Regions from separate parts of the Mus musculus genome. Here all the other regions are reported to be linked to region 3. Evidence: microRNA targets listed by miRTarBase, many of them from high-throughput screens and not tested one by one. Region 3 holds a microRNA gene; each other region holds the end of a gene's coding sequence.

Evidence for each region. The annotated mature microRNA mmu-miR-19b-3p reads UGUGCAAAUCCAUGCAAAACUGA and lies in region 3 at 1,787-1,809, opposite strand. An mRNA with a match to its seed (bases 2 to 7 or 8) in the 3' UTR can be bound and repressed. Matches are read on the target gene's strand: a 7mer-m8 pairs with bases 2 to 8, a 7mer-A1 pairs with bases 2 to 7 and ends in A, and an 8mer does both.
Region 1: the mRNA of Kdm2a is a reported target of mmu-miR-19b-3p. Seed matches in the 3' UTR shown: 7mer-m8 at 2,012-2,018 and 7mer-m8 at 1,883-1,889.
Region 2: miRTarBase lists Cblb as a target of mmu-miR-19b-3p. Seed matches in the 3' UTR shown: 7mer-m8 at 461-467.

The regions. Positions count from the first base shown.
Region 1 is chr19:4,315,814-4,319,617 of GRCm38, forward strand. It overlaps Kdm2a (lysine (K)-specific demethylase 2A), which reads right to left. Exons shown (of 21, transcript NM_001001984.2): 21 at 331-3,468. The coding sequence ends at 3,287. Among named protein-coding and RNA genes, the nearest start is that of Grk2, 11 kb to the left of the region's middle.
Region 2 is chr16:52,204,371-52,208,174 of GRCm38, reverse strand. It overlaps Cblb (Casitas B-lineage lymphoma b), which reads right to left. Exons shown (of 18, transcript NM_001033238.1): 18 at 128-3,742. The coding sequence ends at 3,483. Among named protein-coding and RNA genes, the nearest start is that of Gm23513, 100 kb to the right of the region's middle.
Region 3 is chrX:52,740,205-52,744,868 of GRCm38, forward strand. It overlaps Mir19b-2 (microRNA 19b-2), which reads right to left and starts at 1,862; the gene lies at 1,779-1,862. It overlaps Mir363 (microRNA 363), which reads right to left and starts at 1,563; the gene lies at 1,489-1,563. It overlaps Mir92-2 (microRNA 92-2), which reads right to left and starts at 1,724; the gene lies at 1,634-1,724. It overlaps Mir20b (microRNA 20b), which reads right to left and starts at 1,988; the gene lies at 1,909-1,988. It also overlaps Mir18b, Mir106a and Kis2.

The DNA of each region.
Region 1 (3,804 bases), not on the chromosome of region 3:
GACCTTTACAAGCATGGAACTCCACATGGTTACAAAAACAAGAGACTCCTCCAAGCTGCCCTGTAACCTCCACAGGTCAGAAGTATGCCATGGTATATGTACACGCCTGCAATCACATGTAAAGTACTTTTAAAATTTAACTTCATCGAGCAAGTGTTGCTTTTTGACATTAAGAAAGCTAGTAAGTATACAGGCTTGTACCACAGATGTTTCTGTCCAGAGTGGTGGGGCAGGCACTTCCTAGTTTTAGCAAGACATCAGCATGTCTATATGACCTTCTGACATCCTCTTAGATAGACATACACATACACCAAAAATGAAAGGGGTTAGTTTTTGTTTTTAAAGTCTTTTTATTTAAAAACAAAAACAAAAAAGAAAACCAAATCAAAATATTTCCCATTGGAGGCTATTTCTTTTTTTGTCTTTTAAAAATTTTATTACACAAATATCTCCCATTCCCAAGTGTCAGAAGAAAGACATCTTTGCTCTTTCTAAAACCAAGTGGGAAACTTTTAGAAAACAAAGTCCAACTAGCTTTCTTCCTTCCCTGACCCAAAATAATGCCAATGTGTCAGCTGGTGGCCTAAGACTCATTCCCTTAATGCTTACATTTAATTTAAAAATCTTAGCACAACATTGGAGATCGACTCTAAATAAGCAACAAAAAATATATATTTACAATATTTCCCACCCACCCCCAAAAAACCAAACCCTTTAAACATAGTGACTTTAGGAGTTTTATTTATTGAGCAGTTATTTTTTTAATCACCAAGTGATTTTATATTATATATATATAATTATATATATATAATTTTCTTCCTTTCCTTTGTGTTTTTTTGCCCCAGTATGTGGAAAGATGAAGGCAGAGGTCAGGTCCTGCAGTCTGAGGCCAGGCTCTGGCAAGACTGCAGCTAAGAGTAGATGCAGGACTATGAACTCGCATGTTCTACGTCCTCGGAGACACTTCTCTCTTTTTGCAAGGACCAACTCTCACCTCTAAAAACCATTCTCCCTCATAGTCCTAAAGAAAAGACCCAGCAAGGGCGTCAGTCCATCTGCCACCACCCTGAGCTCCCTTTTCCACTGACAAATTTCTGTGCGGTAAAATGCTTGCTTTTTCTAAATTCAAATGCAAAGACCAAAACCCAGACAAGCCATCAGCTTAGAAATTTCTGTGGATGAACTGTCCCAAAGGGCAGAGGCACTCTCCCGGCACAATCCCTGCTCTGAAAGGGTCTCTCCACCTCCCCTTTCATAAAAAGACAACAAACAAAACTTAGTAATTTTAGTATTTTCCACAGGAGCAACCAAAAAGAAAAAAAGTCAGGAAGCTTCTAATTATAGGTCATTAATAGTATTAATAAGGTTTTTGCTCAACACCCAGGGTTCTTTACAGAAGTTCCCCCAACTGAGGCACTCTGGAATAAGTCACTGGCGTTTCCTCAACATTTCAGGCCCAGGATTCTGGGACCTGAAGACCAATGGAATGGCAGAGGGTCAAGGGAGCAGACTGCTGTTTTTAAGGTGCAGCCAAGAGAAATCAGCAGATTGGAAGAAACAATGCCATCCCTTGCCAGAAACCCAGTTTTCCTGGAAAAAGTCTGGTTATTGCCAGGGTCAAAGCTGGGCTGAGTGGCAGAGGGGACACTTCTGCCTCTATTGCTTTGGCAGTGGCAAGGGTACAGTTAGCATCTCTCCTTGGGCGGTTCACACTTCAGACTCATGGTGCCCGGGCTCTGTCCCCTCTTGATGGAGTTTAGGAAAGTCTGAGGCTAGATTCCAGGAAATGGGGTGGGAAGTGGGAAGGGATATGTTTGGGGCTAAGAGAAGGCGGGGCAAGGCTGTGCTATCAATTATCAATCTCCTATAGATGGGGAGCAGAGTGCAAATTTGCATGTATCACTGACAAACTCTGGCCACAGGCCTCTGCTGAGCATCTCCTCATACTCTAAATATTGACCCAGAACAGTTCCGACCATTTTCTTTCTTTCATTTTTTTTTTTTTTCTAAAGTGCAAAAAGCTCTCTGCTGCCCTAGAGAGAGGATCTTTGGACAGGCCGTTCAATGCAAAGTCAAAGGGGGCAGCTTGATGGGGCTTGAAGAAGGGCGATGAGGAGTGGGAGCCATCATGCTCCCCTCCTTCCCTGCACATATGTGCAGCACACTTAGCCAGACACACAGAGGCACATGCACACACACTTCCAAGGCTGCAGGCAGAGGGTAGGTTTTCAATCAGGACTCCCCTTAAAAGGCACCAGGTCAGTGAGCTGCTAGGTTATACACAGGCCTGGGCTCAGAGGGCCATGCTAAACCAGAGCCCAGAAAAGCCTGGCTTAGAGAGGCAGGTGGGGATTCAACCAGTCTTCTGTTTCCCCCACCTGGAGAAACATGCTGCTCCTTCTGAGGACACAAATTCTAGAAAAGCCCTGCTCAGGCAGAAAGAGGACAAATGGAAAAGGGCAGTTGGTGGGCAGCAATGGGTGGGGAGTATTAATGATGCCTGTCTTAGAATATGCCTGGGTAGCAATGATATGGGCATTTCGGGGGGGGGGGGGAGGGGCAGAGTTCCAGCTCCTCTGAAGAGCTTTTGATAACCCCAAGTAAGTGCAACAAAGGACAAGTGGGTGACTAGTGGAAAAGTTTAGGGGGTGATGGCAGAATGGGGACTGTATTATGAGTGTTGGACAGCATCAAGCTCAGGGACAAGAAAAAAGGGCTATGACAGACATGGAGCAAAGCTTCAGACAACTCACAGCACCATTGAGACCTGCCAGGCCTGGTGTTTCTAGGGCTGTTGGCTCCTCCTGCAGAAGCCGGGAGAGTTTAACGGAGGAGAGACACGCAACGGACACCATGAGGAGAATCTGGCCATGGAGGCAAGGCTGCCTTCCTCCCTAGAGTATGCTCAGAACCAGGCACTGCTAGGGACTATGGGTGAGAAGGTAGGGTTCTTGGCCCAGTGCAGGTGAAAGATGCACAAATTCCCCCAAACTGAGAGCCCAGCTTCCTAGCTGGCAGACGAGCAAGCAAGCAGGAACTGGGATAGCACAGCCTGTGCTTTCTCCTTGATCAACCTCTCCTTTCTTTTCCGTGGGAGGGAGAGGAGCAGGCAATAACCTTGGTGTCCACCAACCTCTCTGCCCCACCTGTGGGAGAAGGGCTCAGAGAAAAGAGAGCAGAGAGGGAATGTGTCGTTGGCCTCAGAGCCTGCGCAGGGTCAGGGAGAGACTCTCCTTGGTGGGAAGGCAGGGGAAGATTTTCCTGTTCAGTCTGGGCTGAGCATGTCTTAGCTAATCTTCTGTATCAGTTTCTCATCAGACAGGCAGTAGAGGCTGTTGATGGACAAGTCTGAGATGAAGTGCTCACAGGCTTTTCTCGTGATCTGTTTGCATCCTCGAAGGTCAATCAAGGTGACATTAGCAATTCGCCTTAGGAAGAACAGGGTCTGGTCTGTCAATTTATTGCAACCTGTAGGCAACATGGCCAAGAGAAAAAAAGATTACAAACATAGCCACAGAGGCCCATTTCTGCCACTCTGTTATCCCAGTATCTTTCTCCAATGCTCTGTCACCATGCAGAGATACTGGGGTTGCCATCAGTATTGTGGCCTCTTGCTGCCTGCCTCTAAGGACCATGGGCAAGTGAGCAGCACAAGAGCCATCTGGCTGACAAAACTACAGCTGGACAGCAGCCAAACATGCCGGCACCTGAGTTTACTACCCACCTCAGAGATCTTTGGTTTAAAAAGAAATAGAAAAGTCTCTTACGGCTGGAGAGACCCCAGCAACCACACGGTGGCTCACA
Region 2 (3,804 bases), not on the chromosome of region 3:
GTAAGGTGGATATGTCTGCCCAGGTAGCTTTCTAGTGCCATTTCCATAATCCTATGGAAAAATAACATCAGAAATATGCTTTCAAAGACGTACTTGTGCTCACTTGAAAAATAACATACAAAAGGCATTTGTTAACATTCATTTTATAAAATACCTTAAAAGAACAGATAAAGTACTTGAGGTTTGTTACATATCCAGAAATGAAAAAAGAATAAAATATAAATTAATTGAACACATAGCTATTTTGCCACATTAGACAAGTCGTAAAAACTGCATTTCAAAACAATAAAAATAGGAACTGAGAAGAAAACTTTCTATTGCTGTCTTTTTCCAGAAAGTCTCCTTCGAAGCTCAACATTTCAGGCTTACAGAAAGTACCTGCATCAATATTTAAAATATACCACATTTTGATTCCAAATCAGTCCATTTGAGACATTTTAAAACCAGATGAGACAATTCAGTGCAAACTAAGGCTTCAAGTTGAAAATCCGAGAGGCAAAGTCACGTTCAAACTGCAGGAAATGCTTCTGGAACTGAACAATTAGGAAGTTCACATTATGAAGAGCTCTGCATGTGTCCTGGGTGTGTGAAATACTGAGTTAGCAAACAGACTTCTGAAGGTTGTAGCCAGGGCTCTGTTGTACTGTAGGGAGGGAGAACGTGGAAAAGGGCTATCTACTGGAATTGTGGGACCATGATAAGTTAAGCATCAAAATGCCAGTATTTGTGTCCAGAAAATTTGGCTGTGATATATATCAGATACCAAGAAGTCAGGTGCAGGGTGGGGGGTGGGGAGGATAAAAGGAAAAGGAAAAAAATAACTCCCCATTTCTAGAAAAACAATGACTGGAATATCATTGGAGATGGATCCCAGGTAGGGGTTACAATTAGCCATGGTTTGTTTTAATTGTGCAGACTATATAAGATATTGGATTGAGGGTAATTCTATTATCAGATCTTGAGCATGGGGGGGCACCTCAATTTCTGGATCAGAGGGAACAAAGTGTGGAACATTGTGTTAGTTAGCAACTATTAACTAGTAGTCCCTTTCAAAATGAAAAATAATTTCAACATTTTTTTTTCAAATAAATTTTGTGAGTTTTCCCATTTTCTCTTTGCTTTGTCTTACATATGACTCCTAAGATTCACTTTCCTTGATGAGAAAACCAACAGTGGCTACTGAGTGGCTGCAGTAGGGATCTTGGTACAATCCAGAAAATTATTTACACTTCCCTACCCTGCCGAAACTTCAGGTTCCAAAAAACTGTGTCAGCACATCCTTAGCTTTTAAATTCTGGAGGAAAATCTCTTGTACTTTCTGAGAGTGGAGGTGAATATGCTGTGGGTCCCAGGGTTCCTCTTGTAAACCTACCCCCTCCTCCTTTAAGGATGTTTTAACAGTGTAAGGACAACAAAGGGGCAACTCTAGGTATTAGGCTATGCTGATTGCTGGCAAGCTACATGAAGCCCAACAGACACAGCACTGTATCAGTATGACATCAGAACTTATAAAACAAGTACAGAAAGTAAGAGCAGATAAGAAAACAACAAATAGCCAATTGTAGAAAGTATAAAAAAAAACTTGTATTCATACCTCCTCCCAGGTATAGGATATGAAAACATTAAAAAAAAAAATACACCTCTGGTAGCAGAAGCAACATAAGACCATCCAAACAAACCTAAAATATGCAGACTAAGAGTCCTCAAATCCTGTCTCATTCCATAAAAGCCAAACTGTAAAAGAATGTGCTGGGTTCCCTTCCTGGACAAACACAGCTTTGTCCATGAGTCTTGTACAATGGCAGCTCCATCGGATCTGTCTGATGTACTTACTATCTTGTCATTTGTCAGGATAAGTGATTATCCGAGGCATCTCTGTATGTGAGACTAGGTGTGGAGTAACGAGTGGTAAGAAACATCCACACAAGCCTAAAATCAATGTTTAGAAACTATCAAAATGTGGTTCAAGCATTCTTGCACAGAGATAGTTTTTATTCTTTTCCCCCCACTATTAGGGATACAAAACAAAACAAAAACAAAAAACCAAAGAAACAAAAACCCCAACCCAACCTAACCCAACCCAACCCAAAAACCTGAAATTGCCACAGAGGTCTAAAGTCCTTACACCAATCTTGGAAGCTTCATCCATCAGACTGGAGACATTTACCACCAAACGCATCTACACAAATAATATGATGGAGTCCATGTGTGAGAGTTTGTGCTTTCAAAGCCCACAAGAGTGCAACGCACATTACAGATGGTCAAAAGATATCCATAGATTAGAAGTAACCACAGTTTCATCTGCCTGGATGGGGGCAACACAGAGCAGTCAACAACAAAACCCACAGAGTAAACAGGACTCCTACCATGAGTGGAGAAAGGGTACTAAGAGTTTTGCAACTTACAAGGCCTGCAGTTGCAGTGATACATAACAGTCGTCAGTGCCTTAGGGGGCTCCCACACTGTGAGGAGCCAGGGTGACATCATAAAATAGAAAATGGGCTCTATTCCACTTGGGAAAGGCATGTATGTCCATGACCTTATCTAAAGGCATATTAACATATTTCCAGGCGGTGGTCCCCTTTTCCATCTCTCCTGAAAGTGATGCAGGCATTAATATCAGGGCATCTCATTATGGTACTGGAGTACAAGCAGTCTCCTGCAAGCCTGTTTTCCCTGCATCTGCAGCAGTCACTTTTACAGCATTATGACACTCCTGGGTGGATGAGAGGGAGAGTTCGGGAACCTAAAGGTCACAGAACTTAAACTAACAAGAGAAGCTCTTTTATAGTATATAAAAACCCCTTACAAAAGGCAGTTTATTGACAAATAAATGCTTTTTACATTCAGGTTTTCCCCCACCTCTCAACAGTGATGGTTCCCAAAGAAAAGACTCAGTAGTGAAGACAAGACCACACACATTTTCCTTTTTCTTTCTGCATTAGTTTGAAACACTGAAAAATCAGGACCTTCAGACTAGCGTGCCGTGTGAATGGGAGAAATGGAATTGGACCTGGCTGGGGACATGAGGTGGGGCCCGGATAGAGAGCAAAACAAAGAGATGGTTTAGCCTCTGATGTGGGCACCAGGGCAGGCATGGAGAAACTTACAGCAGACCTGAGCAACTCTGCAAAGGGCCTGTCAGGAACACAGTACAGGGATCAAAAACAGAGACAAACTGCAATTCTGCCAACGTGTAAACAAGGAAAAGCATTTCACAGATTCAAAGTTCAAGGGGGAGTAAACGTCTTTAAATTATTTTATCAGTTCAACCCTGATTTCAAAGTATGGCTAGCACAAACACAGAAGCTTCAGTGTGGGCATCCTAAGAGAGCTGTGGAACCAGAGAAGCTGGACTCCAGGCTGCCTTCTGGGGAAGCCACACGGAAAGACACCGTGGCTCCTGCATTCCCTCTCAGTCCTTCTGTCTCATACTCCTGGAATATTTGTTAACTGCCCTTTGGTGTCTGCAGTTCTGGCTGCTATAGATTCAGACGTGGGGAGACAGGAGGGGGGAAGGCAAATTCTCGAAGTATGCTCCTGGCCACTTCCACGTTATTCTGGGCAATCTCTAAGGCTCTCTTCACCTCTTCAAAGGCATACCCCTCTCCCATGAGTTTTGCAATTTTTGCATCGACATTTTCCAACGCCGCTTCGGGCCCATGGGGCTTTCTGTGATGAATTTCTGGTGCAGTCCTTCGGGGTCGTGGTTTGGGGGGTCTAGCTGGTGCTTGCGAACCATCTGTGGAGATTGTCAAAGACAGATACCAGTGAAACAGTGAGATAAAAATGAACACTATAGAA
Region 3 (4,664 bases):
TATAAAATTTGTTTTCAGCTCAGTGGGGGAAGGGCACTTGCCATCGGGCCTAAGAAATCTAAGATGTATGTCCATGACCCACATGACTAGCTCCCTACAGTTGTTCTCAAATCACCACATGACACACACACTAAATAAGTAGATAGATAGATAGATAGATAGATAGATAGATAGATAGATAGATAGATAGATAAATGTATGTAAATGCTGGAAGTCTAGGAGTGGAGGGGTGCCTACCTTTAATCTCAGCATTCTAGAAGCAGAAACACACAGATCTCCGCAAGTTCAAGGCTAGCCTAGTTTACAAATTGAGTTCCAAGCTAACCAGAGCTACATACCAAGACGCTATTTTAGAAAAGCCAATAGTATTGCTAATTTAAAAAGAGAGCCATTGCCATATCCAGGGATCCATCCCATAATCAGCTTCCAAACGCTGACACCATTGCATACACTAGCAAGATTTTCCTGAAAGGACCCAGATATAGCTGTCTCTTGTGAGACTATGCTGGGGCCTAGCAAACACAGAAGTGGATGATCACAGTCAGCTATTGGATGGATCACAGGGTCCCCAATGGAGGAGCTAGAGAAAGTACCCAAGGAGCTAAAGGGATCTGCAACCCTATAGGTGGAACAACAATATGAACTAACCAGTACCCCGGAGCTCTTGTCTCTAGCTGCATATGTATCAAAAGATGGCCTAGTCAGCCATCACTGGAAAGAGAGGCCCTTTGGACTTGCAAACTTTATATGCCCCAGTACAGGGGAACGCCAGGGCCAAAAAGGGGGAGTGGGTGGGTAGGGGAGTGGGGGTGGGTGGGTATGGGGGACTTTTGGGATAGCATTGGAAATGTAAACGAGGAAAATACCTAATAAAAAAAAAGAGAGAAAAAAAAGAGAGCCCCAGGCTGGAGAGATGGCTCAGTGGTTAAGAGCACTGACTGCTCTTCCAGCGGTACTGAGTTCAAATCCCAGCAACCACATGGTGGCTCACAACCATCTGGAATGGGGTCTGATGCCACCTTCTGGTGTCTATGGAGACAGCTACAGTGTACTTGTCATATAATAAATAAATAAATAAATAAATAAATAGAATCTTTTAAAAAAGAAAAAAGAAACCCATTTTTTTTCAGACTTATATATCAGCTTTATTTTGCAAATTTCAGGTTTGTTTACATTCAGTGCAATCAAAATGTCAGGATTTCAAATATATTTAAAAATATGTAGTTTTAAAAAATTAGACTCCAAGCTGGGCGTGGTGGCGCACGCCTTTGATCCCAGCACTTGGGAGGCAGAGGCAGGCAGATTTCTGAGTTCGAGGCCACCCTGAGTGAGTTCCAGGACAGCCAGGGCTATACAGAGAAACTCTGTCTTGAAAAACCAAAAAAAAAAAAAAAAAATCCACTCCAAATGTGTTCAAAGCAATGACTAGCTAAAGGATTTTACAATCTTACTATAGCACTGATAGACGGCTGTCCACATAGGTCCTGCGGTTTACAGATGGATACCGTGCAATTTTCCTCCTATTACACCAACCAAAATTGCATCGTGTTCCACCTGATAACAGCAAAACAGTTCATTTCATAATTACAGTCTAACATAACTTACAATACTCAGAAACTAAAAGACGATTAAAAACCCTCTTTCTTCCTCAGGCCGGGACAAGTGCAATACTTTATATCTAACACAAGTAATGCCACCAATCCCCACCTGTGGATGAATGGGCATGGATGCTGAAGATGTGCATAAAGGTGTCCATTACGATGCAGAAAGGTACACATTCCCACAATCAGTTTTGCATGGATTTGCACAGCCATATATTCACATATACGCTGAACTGCAAATCTGCAAAACTAATCGTAAGTAGCAATGTCCTTGCGCTGTAGTTGCTTCAACAAGACCTTGGTTGATCCAGGAGTACTAGAAGTGCTCACACTGCAGTAGAGTGGTATAAAAACTACCTGCACTATGAGCACTTTGGCACTACTAGGATCCGAGCTTGTTCTTCTACACAACTGTATACTACAGTCTCCGCCATCTGTTTCTCGGCGAAACACTGAAAGAGCCTTTGAAACTTGTGCCGTTCAAATCATTTCTCAAGATATGCTTTTCAAATGCAAGGTAAGAAGTAGCCTGTGCGAGAAGGGGCATTTAGGGCAGTAGATTGTAAGCTGCTTCACTAACAGCACTAGATGCACCTTAACACAAGAGACACATTACAAGGAGCAGCTCAAAAACATCCACAATCTAACTATGCAGAAACCAGGGGACTCAGCGGCCTCTGATTAAATCACCATGGTAATGTAAGAAGTGCTGGCACTGCAGTAGAACTCAAAAAGCTACCTGCACTGTTAGCACTTTGACATGGCCAAGGCATACTCCAGGAGTGTAACCTTGAAGTCTTCCACGAACTCTTCTTTGCCAGATCTGCAGACTCACCTGGATAAACACACACACACACACACAGCAAGTAAGTGAACTGTGAGTTACTATTTCTAAAACAAGTTTGCCTTCCGTTAAGAGTGCAAATGGGGTTGTGTTACTTCAAACATTAATAAGCTCAATTATTTACACAGACTTAAACATGAATAACACTGGCAATCTCAGAATGTCTGACTCTTAAGAGTAAGAGGATTTTGGACTCCCTCTCCGTCTAAGGAAATTTGAGATTCGCATCCCAGAAAATTTGCAGAGCTGTAATATCCACCATGGTTTTCTAAGAGGCAAGAGCCCAGGAAAAGATGTAAGCAAAAAAATAAATAAATAACATTAGGGTGAGTACTGACGTCTTGAGCTCATCCAGAGCTTTGGGGAGCCACTCGGAAGGTCTCTATGTTTGATTACATGAAGCATCCCTGCCCCCAGCCCATTAAGAGAAAATGATAGAAATTTCAGAGCCGCTTTAAGAAACAGTTTTACACTCTTCACATACCGCACAGATGGCCTAGAGATGTCACATTTTCATCTATTTCAAAGGGCTCTACTTCTGTTTAAACATTTATGGACCCATTTTCTCCATTAAACCTAAAGAAGTCAGATTAGCTCTTTGGCTTCATGTCATTATCTTCCACAGGAAAAACCTCTCTCATTTCCAAGTGTGTATCTTACCCAGGAAAATGCTGCAGAGGACAGTCTGAGGGGTCACGAGCTCCCTCCCTCCCATGATGGAATGTTTGTGTTGATGGGGGGACACCAATAAACTTCAGGGACACAAAACTTGAAATGTGTTCAATGAGAAAGGATATTTTAAATGTTGGAACTTTTCGAAGCCACTTAGTGACTAAGATAGTTCTTAAAACATTTTAAATATAAATTAGCAAAACTTTTGAAGTAAATATGAAATCTGCTTCCTATAGTGCAAGTATTGGCTTATTATACTTTTCTTCTTGAACTGGGTTCCTACAACTAGAGATTTTTGCCTCCACTAAAAATATATTACAAAACCTGACTCAACTTCGCAAAACCATACCTCAGCCCTCCAGAGAAAGCTCCTTCTAGCTAATACCTTTCTTTAACACATCTGCTCTCCATCATATATACTAGAAAGTCGCTGTACAACTTCTAAAATTGCAAAGAGGACCCAGTCTTTTACCATTTCGGGATTTTCTCTGGTCTATTCCCGCATCTTCAGCAGCGGCTCCAGTAGAGATCTGTGAACCTCCTGGGAACGCAGGGTGTGCTCCAGCCAGTCATGCCACGCGCTTAGGTCTTCAAGACACCTTAGCGGCCACCAAAATTAAACAGAAAGAAACAAAGCATTATGGGAAACGGAGTTCTCCATTCAAAGCCCCCAAAACGCGCCAAGCTTAAGCCTCTCCCTCCATTCTCGGGTTGGTGGGAGGGAAACCAAGGTAGGTCGGGAGTCCTCCCGCCCCACACCCCACGTGCACCCTGGCATTTGACCACCCACAAGTTCTCCAGAAACCTTCAGAGCAACAAGGGAGAGTCCTTTTCTCACGAGTTGCCTGGCACCCCTCAACTACACTCAGGTACTTTGCTTTTCTCAAGTCTTGCCAGCTCCATCCCCTCCCACCTTAGTTAACTCTCTGGGATCACAGCTGCGCCCGCGGAGGTACGCATCTCCTGGTCCAGTCATCCAGAACAAGCGCGTAGGGGATCTGCCAGTGACCCGCCCTGGCAGGTGGCGCGCGCGACCATCCCGCTGCTGTCCTGCCTGCCAGGATCAGGGAACCGCACGCATCTTCCTAGAGCTCCTGGCCCTCTGCTCTCCTAGCTGGTGGAGGAGGGAGGGCGGCGAGGAGCCACGTGCAGGAAACGCGCCCCGGCGGCCCACGCACACCTAACCCCCAAAGTGTCCGCGCAGCACCACTTGTGCACACGAGCCTGTGGCAGCGGTCCGTCACCTCGAGCTGCGTCCCAAAGCCCGATCCCTGGGAAAAGCCCGCCCTTCGCCTTTAATAGCCTAGGGGGGAAAGCCCGCCCCCGCCCACTCGGCCCACACAGGAATTAGGAAATGGAACCCCCACACCGCCCAGGCCAAAGCCCACGGTGCCCCAGTGACACACAGGACCCGCTCCCTCAGCCTTGCCCTTCTGTCCCCAACACCAGAGTCCTTCCTTAATCCAAGCACCCATGGGATGCCAGTCTAAACCAGTGCCACAGTCGCCTGCCCAGAATGGCGCACTCATTACTACCTTGTCCGGTCA